Struthio camelus: one gene and its partners. The main gene of each other region encodes a partner of the protein of the gene in region 2 in a complex. Links are inferred from orthologs where the notes say so. Each region holds a gene or a part of one and is shown on either strand. Other genes may lie near its edges.

Evidence for each region. Proteins that work in one complex are often made in the same cells at the same time.
Region 1: the proteins of THOC5 (region 2) and THOC6 are in contact, whole or in part, in a cryo-EM structure (PDB 7APK), measured with the Homo sapiens proteins. The link is inferred for Struthio camelus from reciprocal best matches to the Homo sapiens genes THOC5 and THOC6. Residues at the interface, in NP_001002877.1 of Homo sapiens: Pro406, Gly407, Asp538, Ile539, Val540, Asp541, Ala542, Gly543, Leu544, Ser575, Ile576, Ser593, Asp596, Arg599, Glu602, Gly603, Asn606, Val607, Tyr609, Arg660, Phe662, Arg663, Gly664, Pro665, Ser666, Arg667; in NP_001334633.1 of Homo sapiens: Val5, Pro6, Ala8, Val9, Pro10, Leu11, Gly12, Gln13, Val16, Phe17, Leu20, Gln21, Leu23, His24, Met25, Thr26, Phe28, Tyr45, Tyr80, Asp94, Glu125, Val126, Pro127, Glu128, Asn130, Gly146, Tyr170, His172, Glu188, Trp222.
Region 3: THOC5 (region 2) and THOC3 share a complex: the UniProt entries of both Homo sapiens proteins name them as parts of the transcription/export (TREX) complex. The link is inferred for Struthio camelus from reciprocal best matches to the Homo sapiens genes THOC5 and THOC3.

Annotation. Positions count from the first base shown.
Region 1 is NC_090973.1:146,309-154,179, forward strand, and holds the start of THOC6 (THO complex subunit 6 homolog), read right to left. Parts: upstream 3,073-7,871; 5' UTR 3,019-3,072; coding exon 3,004-3,018; intron 2,277-3,003; coding exon 2,101-2,276; intron 1,976-2,100; coding exon 1,911-1,975; intron 1,028-1,910; coding exon 885-1,027; intron 252-884; coding exon 214-251; intron 137-213; coding exon 88-136; intron 2-87; coding exon 1-1. Other genes in the region: CD2BP2 (CD2 antigen cytoplasmic tail-binding protein 2), read right to left, coding at 6,915-7,025, 7,285-7,379. UniProt on the Homo sapiens protein: Component of the THO subcomplex of the TREX complex which is thought to couple mRNA transcription, processing and nuclear export, and which specifically associates with spliced mRNA and not with unspliced pre-mRNA.
Region 2 is NC_090958.1:5,142,836-5,150,311, forward strand, and holds the start of THOC5 (THO complex subunit 5 homolog), read left to right. Parts: upstream 1-4,422; 5' UTR 4,423-5,629; intron 5,630-6,421; 5' UTR 6,422-6,448; coding exon 6,449-6,544; intron 6,545-7,159; coding exon 7,160-7,303; intron 7,304-7,476. Other genes in the region: NIPSNAP1 (protein NipSnap homolog 1), read left to right, coding at 562-635, 1,843-1,991, 2,175-2,220, 2,508-2,602, 2,853-2,923, 3,010-3,150, 3,234-3,265, 3,471-3,565 and 2 more. UniProt on the Homo sapiens protein: Component of the THO subcomplex of the TREX complex which is thought to couple mRNA transcription, processing and nuclear export, and which specifically associates with spliced mRNA and not with unspliced pre-mRNA.
Region 3 is NC_090954.1:10,107,021-10,114,830, reverse strand, and holds the start of THOC3 (THO complex subunit 3), read right to left. Parts: upstream 3,073-7,810; 5' UTR 2,996-3,072; coding exon 2,813-2,995; intron 2,702-2,812; coding exon 2,545-2,701; intron 1,727-2,544; coding exon 1,522-1,726; intron 1,170-1,521; coding exon 1,008-1,169; intron 918-1,007; coding exon 817-917; intron 478-816; coding exon 314-477; 3' UTR 1-313. Other genes in the region: SIMC1 (SUMO-interacting motif-containing protein 1), read left to right, coding at 4,749-5,168, 5,880-6,608, 7,001-7,224. UniProt on the Homo sapiens protein: Component of the THO subcomplex of the TREX complex which is thought to couple mRNA transcription, processing and nuclear export, and which specifically associates with spliced mRNA and not with unspliced pre-mRNA.

The DNA.
Region 1 (7,871 bases), on a different chromosome or scaffold from region 2:
CCTGGGGGGGGGAGCGGGGACGATATGGGGGGGCCGGGGGGGCCGCGGCCCCCTCCCCCCGCGCAGCCCCCCGGGGCCGGGACCCACCTTGGTGTTCAGCTGCAGGCTGTTGATCTCGGGCACCTCCAGGCTGCTCCTGCGCGGGGCGCACAGGCGTCGGGGACCCAGGCGTCCGGGCACCCGGCGCTGGGGGGGGTGCGGGGGGGGACTCACCTGCAGGGGGGGCGGCGGCTCCAGGCCTCCTTGCAGCCCTGGGGAGAGAGGGGTGAGCGAGGGGCCCCGGCATCCGGGGGGGGGCCGGGCATCTGGGAGGGGCCCAGGCGTCCGGGAGGGGCTCAGGGGTCCGGGGGGACTCAGGTGTCCGGGGGGGCCCAGGCATCTGGGAGGGGCCCAGCTGTCTGGGGAGGGGCCCCGGCGTCCGGGGAGGGGCCCAGGTGTCCGGGAAGGGACCCAGATGTCCAAGGAAGGGGCCCAGGCGTCCAGGGAGGGGCCCTGGCGTCTGGGAGGGACCCAGGTGTCCGGGGAAGGGCCCAGGTGTCTGAGAAGGGCCCAGGCATCCGGGAGGAACCCAGGTGTCCGGAGAGGGGCCCAGGCGTCCGGGGAGGGGCCCAGGTGTCCGGGAGGAACCCAGCTGTCCGGGGAGGGACCCAGGTGTCTGAGAGGGACCCAGGTGTCCGGGGAAGGGCCCAGGTGTCCGAGAAGGGCCCAGGTGTCCGAGAAGGGCCCAGGCATCCAGGAGGGGCCCAGGTGTCTGGGAAGGGACCCAGGCGTCCAGCAGGGACCCAGGTGTCCGGGGCGGACCCAGGCGTCCGGGAAGGGGCCCCGGCGTCCGAGAGGGACCCAGGCGTCCGAGAGGGACCCAGGCGTCCGGGCCCCGCCCTCACCTTCTTGACGATCTCGGCCCAGTTCCAGGCCTTGATCTCCCCGTCGCTGGCGCTGAGCAGCTGCCGCTCCGTCGAGACCAGGGCGTAGACGGGGCCGTCGTGGGCTGCGGGCGGCGGCCAGGCGTGCTGGGACCCAGGGCATGCTGGGAGGGCCTCGGCCCAGGGCATGCTGGGACACGCCAGACCCAGGGCATGCTGGGAGGGCCCGGGCCCAGGGCATGCTGGGACACGCCGGGCCCAGGGCATGCTGGGACATGCCAGACCCAGGGCATGCTGGGAGGGCCCGGGCCCAGGGCATGCTGGGACACGCCGGGCCCAGGGCATGCTGGGACATGCCAGACCCAGGGCATGCTGGGAGGGCCTTGGCCCAGGGCATGCTGGGACACGCCGGGCCCAGGGCATGCTGGGACATGCCAGACCCAGGGCATGCTGGGACACGCCGGGCCCAGGGCATGCTGGGACACGCCGGGCCCAGGGCATGCTGGGAGGGCCTTGGCCCAGGGCATGCTGGGACACGCCGGGCCCAGGGCATGCTGGGACATGCCAGACCCAGAGCATGCTGGGACATGCCGGGCCCACGGCATGCTGGGATGGCCCGGGCCCAGGGCATGCTGGGACATGCCAGACCCAGAGCATGCTGGGACACGCCGGGCCCAGGGCATGCTGGGATGGCCCGGGCCCAGGGCATGCTGGGACACGCCAGACCCAGGGCATGCTGGGAGGGCCCGGGCCCAGGGCATGCTGGGACATGCCGGGCCCAGGGCATGCTGGGACACCCACAGGCCCAGGGCATGCTGGGACATGCCAGACCCATGGCATTCTGGGACACCCACAGGCCCAGGGCATGCTGGGACACTCACAGGCCCACAGCATTCTGGGACACCGGCAGGCCCACGGCATGCTGGGACGCCGACTGCCCGCGGCGTGCTGGGAGGGCCCAGGCGCAGGGCGTTCTGGGACACGCCAGGCCCACGGCATGCTGGGACGGCAGCAGGCGCACGGCATGCTGGGACAGGGGGCACCTACCCGCGAAGGAGACCACGGGCTTCTTGCTCTCCTCCTTGGCCTCGGAGCTGAGGGCGGCTGAGAGGCTGCGGGGGGAGGAGAGGGCGGTGGGCGGGGCCGGCGGGAGGCGGGGCCGGCAGTGGTGGGCGGGGCCGGCGGGGGGGCGGGGCCGGCAGTGGTGGGCGGGGCCGGCAGCAGGGGGCGGGGCTACCTGAAGATGGCGATCTCGCCGTAGTTGTTGCCGGCCGCCAGGTAGCGGCCGCAGGGGGAGACGCTCTGCGAGAAGACGCTCATGTGCAGCAGCTCCAGCGCGCGCCGCACGGCCTGCTGGGAAAGGAGCATGGCGTCGGCCCCGGGGCCTGCTGGGAGCCCCCGCCCCACAGCCTGCTGGGAAAGGAGCATGGCGTCGGCCCCGGGGCCTGCTGGGAGCCCCCGCCCCACAGCCTGCTGGGAAAGGAGCATGGCGTCGGCCCCGGGGCCTGCTGGGAGCCCCCGCCCCACAGCCTGCTGGGAAAGGAGCATGGCGTCGGCCCCGGGGCCTGCTGGGAGCCCCCGCCCCACAGCATGCTGGGAAAGGAGCATGGCGTCGGCCCCGGGGCCTGCTGGGAGCCCCCGCCCCACAGCCTGCTGGGAAAGGAGCATGGCGTCGGCCCCGGGGCCTGCTGGGAGCCCCCGCCCCACAGCATGCTGGGAAAGGAGCATGGCGTCGGCCCCGGGGCCTGCTGGGAGCCCCCGCCCCACAGCATGCTGGGAAAGGAGCATGGCGTCGGCCCCAGGGCCTGCTGGGAGCCCCCACCTGGGCGTGACCCCGCCCCACAGCCTGCTGGGAGCCCCCACCTGGGCGTGACCCCGCCCCACGGCCTGCTGGGAGCCCCCACCTGGGCGTGACCCCGCCCCACAGCCTGCTGGGAGCCCCCACCTGGGCGTGACCCCGCCCCACGGCATGCTGGGAGCCCCCACCTGGGCGTGACCCCGCCCCAGGGCATGCTGGGAGCCCCCCCGATTGGCGTGACCCCGCCCCACGGCACGCCGGGAGCCCCCCCGTGGGCGTGACCCCGCCCGGGGCATGCCGGGAAGGCCCCCACCCCTCCCGGCCCCCCCCCGGCCCCGCTACCTCCGCGGGCGCCATCGCCGCCGCTGTCGCGCTGCCCCTCGTGCGCGCGGCCGCCGTCGCCGTCGCGCCGACGTCACCGCGCCCGCCCCTGCCGCGCGGGGCACGCCGGGAGCCGTAGTCCGGCGGCGGCGATGGGGGAGGGTCACGTGGGCGCGGCTGCGCGCGCAGCCCGCCCGCTGCCCGCGGCTGCGCATGCGCGGAGCGCTCCCTCCCCTTCCCGCTGCCTCAACGGCCGCCGCGCATGCGCGGAGCGCCCCCCCCACTCGCGGTGCATCATGGGAGCGACCGGGCCGGCACGGGAGCCGCCATTGGGCGAGACGCGCTCAGGGGCTGCCGGGAGGCGCCGCGCGGGCTGATGGGAGCCGCTGGCCCGCGGGTGATGCGGCGCGGATGGAGCCCCCCCGCGGGGAGCAGGCCGGGCCGGTGACCTCCGACCCCGCGACCCCGGGGGCGCCCGGACGCCTGGGCCCCGCCGCCGCCCCGGCCCCAGGGTGAGCGGGGGCTGATGGGGGAGCAGGGCATGATGGGAGAGGGAGCAGGGCATGATGGGAGAGAGCAGGGGCTGATGGGAGAGAAGGAGCAGGGGCTGATGGGAGGGGAGCAGAGCAAGATGGGAGGGGGGAGCAGGGGCTGATGGGAGAGGAGCAGAGCATGATGGGAGGGGGAGCAGGGGCTGATGGAGCAGGGCATGATGGGAGGGGGGAGCAGGGGCTGATGGGAGAGGGGGAGCAGGGGCTGATGGGAGAGAGCAGGGGCTGATGGGGGAGGGGGAGCAGGGGCTGATGGGAGGGGGGAGCAGGGCATGATGGGAGAGGGGGAGCAGGGGCTGATGGGAGGGGGGAGCAGGGCATGATGGGAGAGGGGGAGCAGGGGCTGATGGGAGAGGGGGAGCAGGGCATGATGGGAGAGGGGGAGCAGGGGCTGATGGGAGAGGGGGAGCAGGGGCATGCTGGGAGGGGGGAGCAGGGGCTGATGGGAGAGGGGGAGCAGGGCATGATGGGATCTCTCCCCTCAGTGGCCCCCGGCCCCCCGGCCCCGGGCTCAAGCGCCGCCCCGACGCCTGCGACTGGTCAGTACGGAGCAGGGCATGCTGGGAGCCCTGCCCCGGGGCATGCTGGGAGTGGGGGTGCTGCCCTGGGGCATGCTGGGAGTGGGGGGTGCTGCCCCGGGGCATGCTGGGAGGTGGAGCCCTGCCCCGGGGCATGCTGGGAGCGGGGGTGCTGCCCTGGGGCATGCTGGGAGTGGGGGGTGCTGCCCCGGGGCATGCTGGGAGGTGGAGCCCTGCTCCAGGGCATGCTGGGAGCGGGGGTGCTGCCCTGGGGCATGCTGGGAGGTGGAGCCCTGCCCCAGGGCATGCTGGGAGTGGGGGTGCTGCCCTGGGGCATGCTGGGAGCAGGGGGTGCTGCCCCGGGGCATGCTGGGAGGGGGGAGCCCTGCCCCAGGGCATGCTGGGAGTGGGGGTGCTGCCCTGGGGCATGCTGGGAGCAGGGGGTGCTGCCCCGAGGCATGTTGGGAGGTGGAGCCCTGCCCCAGGGCATGCTGGGAGCGGGGACACTGTCCCAGGGCATGCTGGGAGGGAGGGAGCCCTGCCCCGAGGCATGCTGGGAGGGGGGAGCCCTGCACCAGGGCATGCTGGGAGTGCTGTCCCAGGGCATGCTGGGAGGGGGGAGCCCTGCCCCAGGGCATGCTGGGAGGGGGGGAGCCATGCCCTGGGGCATGCTGGGAGCAGGGTGCTGCCCTGGGGCATGCTGGGAGGGGGCGAGCCCTGCCCCGGGGCATGCTGGGAGCAGGGTGCTGCCCCGGGGCATGCTGGGAGCGGCGCTGCCCGCAGGGAGCCGGCCCCCAAGCTGGCGCTGTCGGAGGCGCTGGCGGCCGCCCGGCTCCGGGCCCTCGGCCTCCACCACGACCACGGCTACAGCGGGAACGGGCTGCCCCACGGCGCCAGGTACCCGCCCCGGGGGGCTGGGGGCAGTGGGGGGCTGTGGGGCAGGAAGGGGGGGTGTTTGGGGGCCGTGGGGCAGGAGGGGGCAGTGGGGGGGGGCTGTGGGGCAGGAAGGGGCAGCGGGGGGGGCCGTGGGGCAGGAAGGGGGGGTGTTTGGGGGCCGTGGGGCAGGAGGGGGCAGCGGGGGGGGGCTGTGGGGCAGGAAGGGGGGTGTTTGGGGGCCGTGGGGCAGGAGGGGGCCGCGGGGGGGGCTGTGGGGCAGGAAGGGGGGTGTTTGGGGGCCGTGGGGCAGGAGGGGGCCGCGGGGGGGGCCGTGGGGCAGGAGGGGGCAGCGGGGGGCCGTGGGGCAGCGGGGGGGGTGTTTGGGGGCCGTGGGGCAGGAGGGGGCAGCGGGGGGGGCTGTGAGGCAGGAAGGGGGGTGTTTGGGGGCCGTGGGGCAGGAGGGGGCAGCAGGGGGGGGCTGTGGGGCAGGAAGGGGCAGCGGGGGGGGCCGTGGGGCAGGAAGGGGGGGTGTTTGGGGGCCGTGGGGCAGGAGGGGGCAGTGGGGGGGGCTGTGGGGCAGGAAGGGGCAGCGGGGGGGGCCGTGGGGCAGCGGGGGGGGGTGTTTGGGGGCCGTGGGGCAGGAGGGGGCAGTGGGGGGGGGCTGTGGGGCAGGAAGGGGCAGCGGGGGGGGGCTGTGAGGCAGGAAGGGGGGTGTTTGGGGGCCATGGGGCAGGAGGGGGCAGCAGGGGGGGGCTGTGAGGCAGGAAGGGGGGTGTTTGGGGGCCGTGGGGCAGGAGACCCCCGGCGCAGCCCCCCGCCCCCCAGGCCCCCCGCGCCCTGACGCCGGCAGCTGCCCCAGACGGCGCCCGAGGCCGCGACGACCCCGGGAGGCGGCGCCACCGGCGGGGCCCAGGCGTCCGGGCCCCCCAGCTCAGCCCTGCGCGGGGCCCAGGCGTCCGGGCCCCCCCAGCCCCCCATTAAAGACGACTCCCCCTGAGCGCTGAGCGTGCGGCTGTGGGGCCGGCAGGGAGCGGGGGGGCGCGAGGGGCCCAGGCGTCCGGGCCGCCCGGCTCTTCCCCACCGTGCCGGGGGGACGAGGCCGCCCCGGGGGGCAGCCCGGACGCCTGGGCCCCCTCCCGGCCGGTGGGGGGGGGGGGGGGAAGAGACCGGAGCCGGGAGCAGACGGGTTTTAATGGGGAAAAAAACAGAAAACGAACCAAGGAGACGCGACCCCCCCGCGACCCCCGGCGCGCTGTTCCCGGGCTTCCCAGCAGTGCTCCTGGTGTTCCTGTTGGGTGTTGTGGCGGCTGTTCCCAATGGCTGTTCTGCTGGGTGTTCCCAGCGGGTGTTGCGGCAGCACTCCCAGCATTCCGGGTGTTCCCGGTAGTCCCAGCGGCTGTTCCTGGCAAGTGTTCCGGCAGCGCTCCCGGTGTTCCCGGCGGGTGTTGCGGGGGACATTCCTGGTGTTCCCAGCAGGTGTTGCGGGGGGCGCTCCCGGTGTTCCCGGCGGGTGTTGCGGGGGGCGCTCCCGGTGTTGCGGCGGGTGTTGCGGGGGGAGCTCCCGGTGTTCCCGGCGGGTGTTGCGGGGGCGCTCCCGGTGTTCCCGGCGGGTGTTGCGGGGGGCGCTCCCGGTGTTCCCGGCGGGTGTTGCGGGGGGCGCTCCCAGTGTTGCGGCGGGTGTTGCGGGGGGCGCTCCCAGTGTTCCCGTGGGTGTTGCGGGGGGCGCTCCCGGTGTTCCCGTGGGTGTTGCGGGGGGAGCTCCCGGTGTTCCCGGCGGGTGTTGCGGGGGCGCTCCCGGTGTTCCCGGCGGGTGTTGCGGGGGGCGCTCCCGGTGTCGCGGCGGGTGTTGCGGGGGGCCCTCCCGGTGTTCCCGTGGGTGTTGCGGGGGCGCTCCCGGTGTTCCCGGCGGGTGTTGCGGGGGGCGCTCCCGGTGTTCCCGGCGGGTGTTGCGGGGGCGCTCCCGGTGTCGCGGCGGGTGTTGCGGCGCTCAGACGTACAGCTGGAAGTCGATGCGCTCGGAGCGGTAGAAGGCGCCGGCCGGCGACTGCACCTTGCGGCAATAAACGCCCGGGCGGAAATAGCCCTGGGCCGCCCACTCCTGGGGGGGCAGGACCGGGGGGGCGCTGGGGGGCGCTGGGGGCTCCCCGGCACCCCCGGATGGGGGGTGCAGCCCCCCAACGCCGCTGCGGAGCCCCCAGCCCTGGGGCCCAGCCCCCCCGGTGCCCCCGGCCGTGGGGCCCAGCCCCCCCCCGCTGTGGGTCGCAGCCCCCCAGCCATAAGCCCCAGACCCCTAGCTGTGGGTTGCAGCCCCCCAGCCCCCCGGCCGTGGGTCCCAGCCCCCCGGCCGTGGGTCGCACCTGCATCTGGGCGCTGCTGAAGGGGCCGTAGAGGGGGGCGCCGCTGCCGCTCTCCCACTTGTACTCCCAGAGCACCGGGTCCAGCGCCGGCCCCCCTGCGCCGTGGGGCAGAGCGGGGTCAGGGCCGCAGACCCCCCCCCGCGCCGTGGGGCAGAGCGGGGTCAGGGCCGCAGACCCCCCCCCCCGCGCCGTGGGGCAGAGCGGGGTCAGGGCCGCAGACCCCCCCCCCGCGCCGTGGGGCAGAGCGGGGTCAGGGCCGCAGACCCCCCCCCCCCACGCCGTGGGGCAGAGCAGGGTCAGGGCCGCAGACCCCCCCCCCCCACGCTGTGGGGCAGAGCAGGGTCAGGGCCGCAGACCCCCCCCCCCCCCGCGCCGTGGGGCAGAGCAGGGTCAGGGCTGCAGACCCCCCCCCCCCGCGCCGTGGGGCAGAGCAGGGTGAGGGCTGCAGACCCCCCCCCCGCGCCGTGGGGCAGAGCGGGGTCAGGGCTGCAGACCCCCCCCCCCAGCCGTGGGGCAGAGCGGGGTCAGGGCCGCAGAAAGGGGGCTACGAACCCCCTGACCCCCATGGTGGGGGTTTCCCAGCCCCA
Region 2 (7,476 bases):
CGGGCTCGTACAGGCTCATTCCAGGCTGGGTCCCTGAGGTGAGCAGGGCCCCAGACACCTCGATCCCTGAGGGAGCAGCGCCCCGGACGCCTGGGTCGCTGGGGTCCCCACCCCCAGGCTGGTGCATCCCATCCCCGTCTGGTTGCCCCCCGGGTGTGGTCTGTGAGGGGGTCCGCCCCCCCGAGGCAGGGACCAATGAGCAACGTCGCCCCCACGAGGTGCCCTGGTTGATCAGGCTGCAGCAGAGCAGGGCGTCGCAGCCAATGAGGCGCCGCCATCTTCGCCTAGCTCCTCTGATTGGGTGTTGCCATGTGACCGAGGTGAACGGCCTCTGCCCAGCTCGTGCCCCTGGCCGCGCTCTGGGACCCCCCCGCCCCCGGCAGCCAATAGGGCCGGCCCTGGGGCGTAGCCACGACAGCATTGGGGTGGGCGTGGCAAAGCCCGGCCCAGTACGACAGCCAATCAGAGTCGCCGCTGGAGAGGGTGTGTGGCCGGCGCGTAGCCACGCCCCTGTGCCGAGGGAGGGGTGGGTGGCCGCCGCGCGTGGCCCCGTTGCGCGGGATGATGGCGGCGGTGCGGGTGGCCAGGAGCGCGGCGCGGTGGCTGCGGGCGGGCGGCGGCGGCGGCGCAGCGCGGTGAGAGGCGGCGCCGGGACCCGGCACCGGGACCCGCCCCGACCCCGGGGACCCGCCTCTGCCCTCAGTCCCGGGCACCGGGGTCCAGCCTTGCCCCCTCAGCCCTGGTCTCTGTCCCCTTCTTCCCCCTTCCCTCAGTCCCCCATCCCTTGTGCCCTCCTCCCCTTGTCCCTCTGTCCCCTTGGTCCCCCTTTCCCCCATCCCTCTGTCCCCCCGTCCCCTTGTCCCTCCATCCCCCATCCCTCTGGCCCGCCATCCCCCCGGTCCCCTTGTCCCCCCATCCCTGCCCTCCACCCCTGCCACCCCCGCCTCACGTCCCCATCCCCTCCGTCCCCAGGCCCCCCTCACACGGGGCTGCCCCACGCTGGCTCCCCGCCCCAGGACATGTCCCTGTGTCCCTGCGCCAGGACACACGCAGCCACGGCCGGCCTGGCAGCACCCCGTGCTGCAGAGGGGGGTTGTTTACCCTGCCCCCCCCCCCCACCCCGTGGTTAATGTGTTACCAGCTGCCGTGCAGCGGGCCAAGGTCCGGCCGATGACACGGCATCCCCGAGGAGGCTGGCGCAGGGCAAGCCTCCCCTGCGTGCCACCGCCCCACCGTGGCCCCCCCCAGCGCTGCCTCCCCGAGCCTGCAGGCAGCCCGGCGGGTGCCACCGCCGGTGCCCCCGGTGTGGCGCAGGGGCCTACGCCCTCGCGTGATACCCAGGAGCCTCTGCCCTCGTGTGACACCCAGCCACGCTGCCACGAGTGTCCCTCGCCCTGGGGAGGCTCTTCCCCGTGGGTTGCCCGTGCCCTGAGTGCCTGGTGGGCTGCCCATGCCGGAGCGGGACGAAAGCGGGTGCCAGGGAGCCTCCTCCTTCACAGGGCCCCAGTGACACGTGTGCTAGTGGCACACGCGCGTCCTGGCTCCGACGGCAACATGCCACCAGCAGCCTCAGACAGGCCAAAAAAACCCAAAATCCAGCGCTGGGGGAGCTGCTCCCTGGTTCCGAGCGCAGCTCTCCTGCAAGGCTCTGGACAAGGCATTTTCGCGCCTCAGTTTCCCTCTTTGCAACACAAAACGAATGAAACCAGCCTCCCACAAAGCCCTGTGAGCCAGCCAGTGCTGTCTGTGAGCGGATGCTGCTGGCTGCCTGCAGACTCAGGAAGGCAGAACTGCAAGCAAAACTCCCTCCTCGTTCTTATCGTAACCGATGTCGCCCCCCAGGGTGACACCGGCGTCTCGCAGGGGCTACGCGGGGACGACCGAGGGCAGCTGGCTGCGCTCACTCTTCGTGCACAAGGTGGATCCCCGCAAGGATGCTCACTCCAACCTCCTGGCCAAGAAGGAGACCAGCAACCTCTACAAGATCCAGTGTGAGAGGCGCCGGGGGCAGGCAGGGCCAGGGGCACCTCGGCACAGCTCCGCGGCACCTCCGCACCCCGTTATTTGGCCGTTTGCCCCATTTCTGTCCCCAGCTCAGTGGCTGCTCTCCACTTGGGGCAGCTCCTCCCCGGGCCTCAGCTCCTGCTCTCACCCTCTCGCCCTCTCTCCCACAGTTCACAACGTGAAGCCCGAGTGTCTGGACACCTACAACAGCCTGACGTGAGCCTCCCGTGCGGGTCAGGGTCACCCAGCGTCCCTGCAGGGAGCACCCAGGGGGCTACTGAGGCTGGTGCAGGGCTGGGGGAGCTCACACCGAGCTGCTTCAGGAGCCCCCGGCAGGTTTCTTATTCTGGGCCTCAGTTTTCCTTCCTGTGAAATGGGTGCAGGGAGCTTCCCGCAGGGGTGAGGCCAGGTTGCGTTGGGATGCAGCCCCTGGCTGCCGCCTGCCATCTCCTGGGCGTCCCCTGGGGCACAAGGGTCCCCTGCAATCCCCCATGTCCCCGCAGGGAGGAGGCGCTGCCCAAGCTGCACGCGGACGCCGACTACCCCTGCACGCTGGTGGGCAGCTGGAACACGTGGTATGGCGAGCAGGACCAGGCAGGTCAGTGCGGCAGCATCCCTGCAGCGGGGGCACAGCAGCACTGGGGCCTCGGCGGCCTCCCGCCCTCAGGGAAGGGCCGTGTGGGCAAGGGAGGGTACAATTTTGGGGGGGAAAGTGGCAAAACAGAGCTTTGAGAGGGTGCTGCTGGGAGCTATGCACGGCTCTGTCCTGGTATCACCCGGCCGCCCGGGAGCGAGTGCTGGCGGGTCCCTGGGCTCGGTGGCACCCCATAGGTGCCTTGTCCTTGCAGTGCACCTCTGGCGCTTCTCCGGCGGGTACCCGGCACTCACCGAGTGCATGAACAAGCTGAAGCAGAACCAGGTAGCACTCAGGGCGGCACCGTGCCGGGGTGGGGGGGACACTGGCGTGTCCCTGGGCATCCCCATGGCCATCCGGGCTCCCCGCAGGAGTACGAGGCCTTCCGGCGCGAGCGTAGCAAGCTGCTGCTGGCCCGTCGCAACCAGCTGCTGCTCGAGTTCAGCTTCTGGAACGAGCCCCTGCCCCGGCCTGGGCCCCACGTCTACGAGCTGAGGACCTACAAACTCAAGGCGAGTGGCCCCACGCGGTGCCGGGGGCAGGGGTGCAGGGAGCCACCCGCTCAAACGTTGCTGGTTTGCTTCTCCCTTTCCAGCCGGGGACCATGATCGAGTGGGGCAATAACTGGTAAGGAGACAGCCTGGTCTCTGCCTCAGTTTCCCCCCTGCCCCAGGCACTGCCTCAGTTTCCCAGCTGGTCCCGTCCTTGGGGGCCGTCCTCCACTCCCTCGTTCCCTGCACAGTCCCTGGGGCTGTGGACAGAGGAGGAGGAGGAGGAGGAAGAGGAAGGCTTCTGGCACCCCACAGCAGTTCTTTCCCCCCACCCCGGCCAGGGCTCGGGCCATTAAGTACCGGCAGGAGAACCAGGAGGCCGTGGGTGGCTTTTTCTCCCAGATCGGCGAGCTCTACGTTGTGCACCACCTCTGGGGTAAGTGGGCACCCAGGGGCACCCGTGGGTGCTGGGTGCTTCTGCGCCAGTGTGAGATGCTCTGTGTTGTTGCCCCCCCCAACCTCGCTCCCTGCAGCATACCGGGACCTGCAGTCACGCGAGGAGACGAGGAACGCGGCATGGCGCAAGAGTGGCTGGGATGAGAACGTCTACTACACGGGTGAGCGTGGCGGCAGGGGCACCCATGGGTGCTCAGTGTCAGGGGTCACCCGCGGTGACGTCCCCCCGCCGCCACTGGCTTTGCAGTGCCGCTGATCCGCAGCATGGAGTCGCGCATCATGATCCCCCTGCGCATCTCGCCCCTGCAGTGAGCCGGCACCTCAGCACCGTGTCGCCTTCCGTGCCCCTGGGGCACGCCGGGGTCCCCGCAGGGCACCCAGATCCCCTACCTGCCCTGAGCACCTACTTGGGGTAGCCCATGGGGATGGGAGCTGGGGGCGCCCCTGCTTTCCTCTGGGGGCTCGGCACCATGTCACCTCCTGTCCCCCTTGTCCTGATCGTCCCCCAAGGCTCACTGGGGCAGGGCCAGGGTCCCGCGTGGCACCCAGCTCCCCTCGTCCCCGGAGCACCCATTGGGGACCCCTTGCAGGGACAGAGCCAGGGACACACCTCAGGGTCAGGAGCTGGGGACACCCCCCATGGGGGACGGGAGCCAGGGACACCCCACAGGGGACAGGAGCTGGGGATCCGCCATGGGGACGGGCCCTGGGGACACCGCATGCAGGACAGGAGCCGGGGACACCCCATGGGTGCTCCCACTCTGGGGTCTCCCCCCTGCAGGGTGTCCCTGGCACCCACCGCTGTCCCTGGGGTGGGAGCACCCATCTCTGCGACCCCAGGAGGTGACAGTGGTGTCAGGAGGTGACAGCAGTGGCCATGCACTGCCAGTCCTCTGCTCCCGCTGCTGCTGGGAGCCCCAAGTTCTTTGGAGGACAGTGTTAATTAGCACTAATGAGCCCCGGGCCATGGCCGGGCCCCGGGGGCTGCACCCATTAAACATTCGATGTGCCCATGGGTGGCCCTGTCTGCGAGTGGGGGGCCGGGGTGCGTCCCAGGGGGGTCAGCAGTGACGAGTCCCACCGGGGCCGCTCCCATGCGCACAGGTGTCCCCTGCACCACTGGGGACCCCCCACCCTGTGGTCCTCAACCTCAACAAGGTGCACCTTCATGCCCGTAGGTGCCCCCCATGCCGATGGGTGCCCTTCCTACACCAGGGCCCCCCTCCCATGTCTGTGGGTGTCCCCCAATGCCAATGTGCCCCCCACCCCAAGGAGCCTCCCAGTGGCCATGGATGCCCCCATACATCAAACCCCCCCTATGCCCATGGGTGCCCCCCAAAGCCAATGGGAGTCACCATGCCCAAGGGTGTCCCCCTGCACAAAGGCCCCTCCCATGCACTTGGGTGTCCGTCATTGCTAATGGGCCTCCCCCCACCCCAGGGAGCGCCCTGATGCCCATGGGTGCCCCCCATTCACAAGGCCCCCCCATGCCCATTTGTGTCCCCCAGTGCCAAGGGGGACCCTCACTCCAAGGGCCCCCCCATGCCCAAGGGTGCCCTCACCCACCAGTGGACCCCTATACACCAAGGGGTGCCCCCCAATGCCAAGGGGGACCCCCACCCATGCCTGTGGGTGTCCCCCATACATCAGGGCCCCCCTCATGCCCATAGGGACTCCCAAAGCCAATGGGACCCCTACCCCAAGGAGCCCCCATGCCCATGGGTGCCCCCCACACACACCAAGAGGACCCCCATGTCTAAGGGGCTCCCCTGCACCAAGAGGCCCCTAATGAGCCCCCTCAGCTCCCCGCCTCAAATCCGCTGGTGCCTCCAAGGGGCACCGACCTCCGGGGCTGGAGGTGGGGCGACTATAAGCCCCGCCCCTTTGGGCCAGACCCGCCCCTCGGCCGGGCCCCGCCCCCCTCGGCCCGCGCTCCTCCCGGCGGGCCTTGCCCGCTAGAGGGCGCCTCTGGCGGCTGCCGCTCTGCGCCGCGCTCGTCTGCTCCGTGACGTCACATCCGGGCGGCGCTGAGAGGGGCTGACCGGTGAGCGCGGGGGGCCGCGGCCGAGCGGGTCTGCGGCGGGAGGGGGCTTCGCCGGGGGCAGCTGGGGCGGGGGAGTGTTGGCGAGCCGGGCCTGGGCCCGGTCAGTTGGGGGGGAGGCGCTGAGGCCCGGCGGGGGAGGTCCTGGGGGACCCAGTGCGCTGGAGACCGAGGGGGACCTAGGGCCTGGTGGGCAGTCCTCCGTGAGTTGGGGGCTGGGTTGGGGCAGGGAGGAAGCTGCGAGGCTCCGTGATTTCGGGGTCCAGCAGGGGCCCAGGAGAGCTGCGGCAGGGGGGAGCCCGAGGCCCAGCGGGGTGGGGAACAGGGGACCGGGAGAGCTGGGGTGGGCGGGAGGCCACGGGGCCTGCTGAGTTGGAGGCTGTGAGGGAGCCAGGGCTCGGTAGGTTGAGGGCTGGGAAAGCCAAGGAGAACTGCAGTTGGGGGTGAGAGGCTGTGGGGATCAGTGGGTTGGGTGTCTGGAAGAGTTGGCAGGGGGGAGGCCCTTGTGCCTGGTGGGTTGGGGGATGGCAGTGGGCCAGGAGAGTTGGGGTAGAGGGCAGACCCTGGAGCTCAGCAGGTTGGGGGTCTGGTGGGGGGCAGACACCAGGGCGCGGTGGGTTGTAGAGCTGGAAGAGGGCAGAGCCTGGTGCCTAGCCTGTCGTGGGGCAGGGGGAGGGCCTAATTTATCGGAGATTGTCAGAGTTTGAGATGGGCCTGGCAGACAGGAGCCTGGGGGGCCCCATTCTGGGTGCCTCTGTCCCTCTTCACATGCTCACTTGGTTCTTTGTCCCCCAGCCCTGCCAGGCAGCTCCCGGCAGCACCATGTCATCAGATTCCAGCAAGAAGAGGAAGCCCAAAGTTATCCGCACCGATGGGGGCCCACAGGAGGGCAAGCGGGGCAAGGCCGACGCTGACCAGGTGGGGTGCCCCGCAGCCTCTCCTGGCGCCCCATGCGGGGAGGAGCTGCCTGCTTTCGCAAGGTGCTCCTGTCCTGCTGCATTATGAGAAGCTGATACCAAAACTTCCTTTTATTGGCCTCATTCCCCCACTCAGGCAGCTTGAGTGGGGTCAGAACCAGCCAAATCTGAACACCTGCAAGACTCCCACTCTCAGTTTCTGAGCGGGTTTTCTCCTCCTGGAGGAAACGCAATTCCCATGGAGTCAAATGTTGCCTTTTGGGACATAACAGGCAAGTCTGAGGCTGTCAGGTGTTTCAGGGATTTGCAGGTTGCCTTAAAACACTCCCACAAAGATCAGAATAACTTAGTTTTAGTCAAAGTGGAATTTAAGGTTGAAGAAGTAGGTGTGCAGCCTTGATAACAATCTGCGCTGGTGCAGGACAGATACTGGTCTTAATTTACAGTGATGATATAAGAGGCCTAAACTTTCCAGGCATTTGTGCCCCGGGTGGTTAAACGAGTCACTCTCCGCTGCGCAAGCCCCCTCGAGTGTGGGATGACTGGGCTGAGGCAGTGCTCAAGATCTGGTGGTTTATGTCCAGGGCACTTTAGGAGGTGTTTTTACCCCTTGCAGGATGCTCGGTACTACAGTGAGGAGGGTGAGGTGGATCTGCGTGACCCCATCAAAGACTACGAGCTCTACAAAGAGACCTGCCAGGAGCTGCAGAGACTCATGGCAGAAATCCAGGAGCTGAAGAGCAGAGGCATTAAGGACAACGTAAGGAGGAGCTGCAGTGCTTTTTCTGCATGTGCTTTCCTGTGATGTTTCTTCCTGACCCAAGAGGAGCAGGAGCCACACGGCATTCTGGGGAGAATTAGGAAAATGGGACAGTCTCTGTTAAATAAAGTAAGCTGTAGCTGAGGGGTTTGGTCTTTGACCGAGCACCCATT
Region 3 (7,810 bases), on a different chromosome or scaffold from region 2:
TCTCAGCAGGGGCATTCAGTGACAGACCTTCTTTGGCCACTTGCCTTTGCAATGGGCCTCCGTTCCCTGGAGACCAGCAGGGGGGCTCTGCGAGCATCCCCCACCGTCCTCACCAGCACACAGGCTGCTTTTTACAAAGGCTCCCAAGAGCAGGATGCACAGAGCTGAGCCAAGGATCACCATACTGCCAAGCAGGTACGGAGGGGACTGATCTCCTTCCCCCATCCTAGGTTAACCAAGCGTTCTCCCATCCCCGACAGCAGGGAAGTGTTGCCTCTCCTGGTGGTCTACCCTGCTGCCTGTTGCAGTTCCACTAGGAGTCATTGGGGAGCCCGAAGAGCTTGACAGTGCCCGCCTCCCGGCTGCTGTCATATTTGCCATCTTTGTCGTCACAGGCGAAGGCCAGCAGAGGCCTCTTCGGGTGCCAGGCCACTGTGAAGGTGGGGGACTCGCACTGCACCTCCCAAAGCTTCTCTCCTGCACAGAAGAGGGGCCAAGTCAGGCTGGAGAGCCTCTGGCCCTGCATTGCGCACTGCCCCATAGCACACACCAGAGCCAAGCACCCCCCTCCTCCCTCCCGTGTGGGGCAGAGGAAGAATTAGTGCTGCTTCAGTGCTTTAATCAACTGAAGACAAGACACAGACACAACCCATATCTAAAAACAGACCAACTAGGCAGAGGCTCCCCCTCATGGCAATCTGCTGCGCACAACCAAGCTCTTTGCAAGCAGACTGAATCTCCCAGGGCCCTCCCAGCTCCACCAGCACATCTCTGTCCAATTCCCTCCTTGCTATTTCCTTGACGGGGAACCATTACCTGTCTCCACTTCCGCAATGTCAATGAAGTGATCTTCTGATGCCGACGCCAGCATCTTCCCATCATGGCTAAAGCTCAGCGTTCGCACAGGCCAGTCAAGCCTGCAACAGCAAGTCCAAGCAGAGAGTGAGCCATCTCCCACAGGGTCACCAGAGAGAGAAGAGAAAAAGGTTCAGGACAGGACTACCTACCTTGAGAAGCACCTCACACACACCAACTCATCCACATCCCAGAGGCTCACGAGTGCATCGGCACTGCCTGTGGCAAAGTACTTCCCCATGGGATCAAACTTGATGCAGATGCAGTTTGAAGGATGGGCGTTGATGGACTGAATGGGTTTCAGCTCTGGGTAGCTGTGGAGACGAAGGGAAAGAGCAGGAAGCACTGAAAGGAGCAGAGGGCTTGTTTACAAGATGAGGCATAAGGTGCACTGGGATGGTGAGCCAACCAAACTGGAAACCTTGAGTGCTGGATGAATGAGGCAAAGCACCTGGGTCACTCCTCAAGAAGCCCAGCCCAGAACTGGGGCAACCTCAACTCTAGGCAACTTTGTTCCCACCTCAGGACTGGGAAACACTGGGATACAGGACCTCGGCCCCTGCAAGCAGCAAAGGGACTTGCAGACCGACGTCTACCTCGGCTGACAGAGATGCATCAAGGCAACCAGTCCACCTACCCACCCTGCCTGCTGCCACAGGCACCTACCTGAGAATATTGATGCAGCCGTTCCCATTAGTGAGGAAGAACATGTTGTTGTCATTGTTCCAGGAGATCTCATTCACCTCAAACTTGAACTGCTCCTCAGCTTTGGAGCGATGTGTCTTGGCATCAATGAAGGTGACAACGTCATCCTTGTTCCCTACTGCAATGGTCTGGCCATCAGGACTCCAACAGATGTTTATGTTCTCCCCTAGAGGGAAGAAAGGGCAACAGGTCCCATTTACACCCACCAATCCATAGGACCACAATCAGTTAAGCAGACAGGTAGCTTTTTTTTTTTCCTGACTCAAGCCCGTAGTCTGCTCCACTAACTCGGAACTGCTCCTAAATCTAGGACAAATCTGCAGTTCAACATACACATCCCACTCAGTAGCCGGCTAAGAGATAACATAGAGTTAATGAAAACTAAACTTAACAGAACCACAGCTTCAAACCAACAGCATTGCACCACTCCCCTTCCCAGTTTAGCCAAGATGTGACCACAGAGATGACCAAGCAAGATCAAATCAAAGAGCCTCTTAACCGAGTGACCTTCAAATCCAGAAGAAGTAGCAGCCAACCACAAGCACATACAAATGAGGGTAAGAACAAGGCAATTTGCAGCTATACCATCTTGTAATGCTGTTCCCAGACCCATCAATTTGAAATTGGAGCTTTCCTCAGCCGGAGATGGTATCTGTGTTAATCAGTCCATGAATATGATTAACTGCTTCCTGAATCCAGCTAAACTTTTAGTCTCACCATAGGTCTCTGAAAACATGCCTTTCCTTGCACCCCATAGACTCCGGAAGCAAGTACACAAGACATTTTAACAACCAGCATCATATATCAGCGGTTTCTCCAGTCCTGTCACCAACATAAGTCAGCCCTCGTGTGCTGTGCTGCTCCGTATACCTGCTAGAGCTAGATGAGCACAAGGCAAAGACAAAAGCAATCAGCAGAGGTGCCCCGATCCCCACCACCCCCAGGAAACCGGCCCACGGCGGCAAGGTCCTGCCGGGGGCCCACCTTTGGTGTTGACGGTGGCAATGCACTTGGTGGTGCGGACGTCCCAGATGCGGATGGTTTTGTCGCCGGAGGCCGTGACGAAGAGGTCGGGGTTGCTGGGGTGCCAGCAGAGCTGATCCACGCTGTCGCCGTGGCCGCGGTAGTTGTTCTCTTTCACCTAGAGGCAGAGGGCGGCGGTGGGCCGGGGGCAGGCGGACAACCCGCGGCCTCCGGCGGGCCCGGCCCGCTCCCCAGCGCCGCCGCCCCCGGCCCGGCCCGGCCCGCTCACCAGCCGGTCCTTCTCCAGCACGAAGACGCTGGCGGTCTTGTCGAAGGAGCCGGAGGCGAGGCGGCGGCCGCAGCAGCTCCAGGCCACCGAGTGCACCTTGGCGCCGTGCGCCGGGAACTCGCGGCTCCGCGTGTTGGCGCGGAAGAGCTCCTGCATGGCCAGCACGTAGGGCGACAGCGCCATGGCCCCGCCGCCGCCGCGGCACCCGTCCTCCCGCCGCCGCCGCGCGTGACGCAGCTTCCGCCCGGCCCGGCCCGCAGGGGGCGGAGCCGCCGCCGCCCGCAGGGAAGATGGCCGACAGCGTCATCCTCATAAGCGACTCGGGCTCCGAGGGCAGCGGCCGCTCGCCGCCCCGCCACCGCCGTCGCCGTCGCCGCCAGGTGCCGCGGCGCCCCCCACCGCCCCCCGCGGTGAGTCACCGGCCCCCGGGGAACGGGCGGTGGCGGCGGCGGGCGGCGCCTCCCGCTGCGCCGTGAGGGCGGGGCGGGACGGGGCGGGGCGGGGCGCAGCTTGCCCCTCACAAACATGGCGGCGCTTCCGCCCCGGCGGGAGGCGCGGACAGGGACGGGTGCCGCGCGGGGACAGAAAGCCTCGGGGCGCCGCGGCGGGCGCGCGGCGCTGAGCCGGGGCGGCCGCGGCGCCCAACGGACACCGGCCCTGAGCCGCCGCCCCCCCCCCCCCCCGGGTCCCAGCCCGCCCAGCCGTGTCCCCCCGGGAGAGCCTCGGCCCCCCGGCCACGTCCTCTAGAAGGGTCCCAGCCCCCCCAGGCACGTTCCCCCGGGGGGGTCTCAGCCCCCCCGGGAGGGTCCCGGCCCCCCTCACCCCCAGCCCCCCAGGAGGGTCCCGGCCCCTCTCAGCCCCCGCACCCCAGGAGGGTCCCAGCCCCTCTCATCCCCAGCACCCCAGGAGGGTCCTAGCCCCCCTCACCCACAGGCCCCCAGGAGGCTCCCAGTCCCCCTCAGCCATGTCCCCTCAGGAGGCTCCCGGTCCCCTTGCCACATCCCCCCAGACATCCCAGCCCACCATGGCCTCCCGCCCCCAGGAGGGTCCCGGCTGCCAGACCCTCGTGCCCCGGGCAGCCGCGTGGCCCGTGAGCGAGGCCGCGTCTCCGTCGCGCCCCCCGCGCAGAGCGTGGCCTGACTGAGGAGAGGCCCAGACAGCCCAGCCTGCGCAGCCCCCCACGGCCTCCAGCCCCCCGAGCGCCCCGGGGTCCTCCCGGCCCACCTCAGCCTCCCCCAGCCGCACGTCTCCGGCGCCCAGCCCCGGGGGGTGGTGGAGGCGGCCGGGGGCCAGCTCACCCGCACGGCCCCGCCGGCAGGGCAGAGGACGAGCCCGCGTGGCGGCGGCGCGGGGGGAGAGGCCATCTCCCGCCCAGGCCGGCCCGGCGGCCCCCAGGCTGGAAGCCGTTGGCGCCGGTTCTGATGCAGCTTTCAAACGCCGGCAGTTCCGGGCGGCCGCGGTGCGCGGCGGGGCTGCCCGGCGGGGCTGCGGCTCGGGCGAGCGCCACGCTTGTTTGGTCCCGCTGTTTTTCCTGAACGAGCAAAGCCTGTTGGGTTTTGTCACCTCCCCACAGTAAATGCAGCCCCCAACTTGGGAAAGGCAGCGGGTCTGAGTCAGGGAAAACAAAATGGATTTAAATGGATTTTCTTGAAGATGTTCTCAAAACATTTTCCTGTTTTGAGACGCTGTGATTTTTTTCCAAGAGCAAAAAGACCCTGACCCCTGCTGGGCATGTAATGATCCCATGCACCTTCTGAGACGTGCTGTGTCCTGCCTGCCCCTGGTGCGGACACAGATGTGCTCCCCCTGCCTGCTCCTGCGGCCCCTTGTAGATGCACATCTTTGGAGCTCGGGGTTAAAGAGGCTGCATCGCCCGGCGAGTCCTGGATGGGAAGCCCCCAAAGTCTCTGTGCTGCTCTAGATCTGGTCTGGTGTCATGGACGTGAAGGTAGCTCTATTCCCTTCCACTTGTGTCCGCGTAGCGGGTGAGGCTGTGCCGCAGGGGGATGCTGGGGGGGCTTGCAGACATCTCTGGCACGTGCTGTATCACGGCCTGGGGGAGCTGTGGTGCCGTGCCCTGCCAAGGAGCTCGGCGCAGCTCGTTTGGCTCCTGCGGAAACTCCTGCTGCCGGGGAGGGACCCACTGGGGCACTGGACGTCACCGTCATCCCACGCTTGGGACAGCTCTTCCGTGGGACCGACCGCCGAAGCCTTCCTTGTTCTGTCGCGCAGCTGCAGCCCCCTCCTGCGGGACTGGGATAGCGAGCGTTATGGGGAGAGCGCAGGGGACGCTGAGGTTCAGATCCACGAAGGGGCAGAGCTCTCCACCCCGGCGCTGCGTGGCCCCAGGACGGAGGTGTGGAGGCAAAGCTTCCCGCTGCGGGTGGGCTGGGGGAGCCGAGGTCAGCCAGCCTGTTAGGGGAGCGAGCGGGGAACAGCTAGCGCCTGTGCCCGCTCCGGCTGCTTCCCGTCTGCCCTGCAGCTGCACGGGGGCAGGGGGGAACAACCCAAACTCCCCTTGCTCTGCAGCCAAACGCAGCAGCAGTGGCTGTTCCTGGCACTGGAGAAACCCACTAGAGTGGGCCAGGCTCGGCAGAGCAGACTGTAAGGGACGGTCCCCCGGCTCCCCAGGCTCGGCAGAGCCTCTTCGGGCCAAGCATAGCCAGGGCCCCAGGCTGCACGCCAGGCTTTTGGGGATTGTTTTTGTTTTGAAGCAGAGGACGCAGCCGTAAGGCACCCCCGGGTGAGCAGGGCTTGTCACCGGCAGCAGCGGGGATGAGAGGCCCAGGCCAAGCCCGGGCCCAGCCGTGCTGCTGGGGGAGGCTGACACCAGAGCTCGGGGTTGCCACCTCGCAGCCCACCCCGTCCCCTCCGCCAGGCAGCAGGGTCTTTGCTCCTGGTTTCTCTTCCTGCACTGGGTGCAGATCAGCCCCTTCCCCTCCATCTTCCCTCTCGTGGGCCGGGGAGGGCCAGGGCAGTGCCAACGCACCGGAGGCTCCTGGCAGGGCAGGCCCAAGGCAGCCGGGCGCCTCCATTGCAGACAGCGCTGACCCCTCTGTCCCCACAGGAGATCATCGACCTGACCTGCGAGGAGACGAGCGCAGAGCCAGCACCACGCCCCAGCCTCACCATCATCGACCTGACGGAGGAGGAGGACCCATGCAGCCCTCCCGACGACGCCGCAGGCTGTGCTTCCCGGGCAGCACGCGCCTCCCCGCCCAGGCTCTGCTTCCCCACCAAGCAAGAAAGGGAGGTGACGGTGGAGCCCAGCCCTGCAGTGCCCTCCCATGGCGCCCCCGCAGAGCCCCTTCCCGCCTTGGACTCAGCGGAAAGTGCAGGGAGCAGAGGGGGCTTCTCTCCCGCCTCCAGCTGCCAAGGCTCTTCGCGCAGCCCTGGGCAGAACTGCAGCACCACCACTTTTAACAGTGACTTGGGCTCCCTGGCCAGCATGCAGCTGGACTCTGACCAGCTCTCCCTGTCCCCCTCCAGCCTGGACAGCAGCTGCAGCTGGAGAGCCTCTGGCGCGGAGGAAGAGACTCCCCCCAATTGCCAGCAAAGGGAGCTCCCCCCAGGCCTGAGCCCCACGCCAGCCAGCGTTGCTTCATCCCCGGCAGGAGCCAAAAGGCCTTTGTTGGAAGCAAGAGACCTGCCGCCGCGTGTAGCAATGCAGAAAGTGGCCCCAGCCAGGACCAGGGCTGACAACAAGGCCTGGCTGAACAAACTGCAGTATTTCAGGAGGACTGGTGTCCATCACCTCTTCCTCCAAGACATAGCACCCGACAGGGAAACGCTGCAGGTAAACGGGGTTCAGAGCAGCTGCTGCCAGGCCCAGCTGGAGTCTGCTCGGTGACGGGTCCCGCAGAGGGGGAGAGGTAGAGCAGGAAGCAGGGGCAGCCCCTGCTCTGCTTCCTGTTTGGGGGAAAGCTTTGGTGGGCGGTTGGGATCTCTGGTTACTGCAGTTCCCTTAACGGTGGGACACGCATCACAACTGGAGGGCAGCTGTGACTTACCTGCGAAGGCATCAGTGCTGTGAGGCAGCCCCGGAGCAGGGCGCTGCCCAGCACTGTGCACACCGCGTGCCATTAGGGTGCGGGGCGAGGGCATCGCGGGCGAGGGTGCACAGCAGATACAAGGTACGCACAGGCCATGGGGAGCCGCCTTTCACCCATTGCCTTGCCTTGCACGCAGCAGCGGAAACCCGAGCTCATCCCCAGCGGGAAGCTGAGCATGGTACACACCACCATTGAGGAGAACTTCCTCGAGGGCACATTGCATTTCCTGAGTGAGTTCGTCTCCTGCCAGCACTGCCCTCCTAAAGACATCGTGTCCTACTTGATTAGACAGATCCTGTTGAAATCCCACCAGGGAGAGATCCTGAAGGACACCTACATGCTGCTGATGAAAATCCAAATGTATGTTTTCCCTCAGCTACGGTGCCCTGGGGCTGGGTTGATGCTCCCTGGGGTCTGCCCAGCCCCAAGGCTATTCTCTGCGTACCGTGCCCAAAAAAGAGGAAGCAATTTCCCCTACAGTCCAGGACAATCCTGCTTCTGCCCCTGCCTTCTGTTCACAGAGGTTACCAAAACTGACACAGCCCCAGGCTGTCTGGGAGCTGGAGAGGGTCAGGGCCAGTACTGGCCTAGATAGGAGCCTCTGAAGTCCCAAGTGGAGGAAGGATGGGGGTGAGAGAGGCGGGGGATGCTGAAACAATAGGGAAAGCAGCTCCAGTTATTTCATGAGAGCATTTAAATCATTTTATAGCAAGCCAGCAGAGCTCAGGGATTGCCTTGACACCAGGGAGTCCTCTAGGTCAGAGCAGTGTTTGCCTTGTTCCTGAAGAGCAGATCTCATTCTTCGCTGCAGTGACATGGCAGAAACGCTTCCCCTGGGATGCAGCAGCAGCCACGGGCTGGAGATGGTAGGGGCAGTTCACCTGTGCAGCACTCGGGTTTCCCGCAGCGAGGCACGACGTTTCCCCAGGCCCCAGGCCCAGGAGTG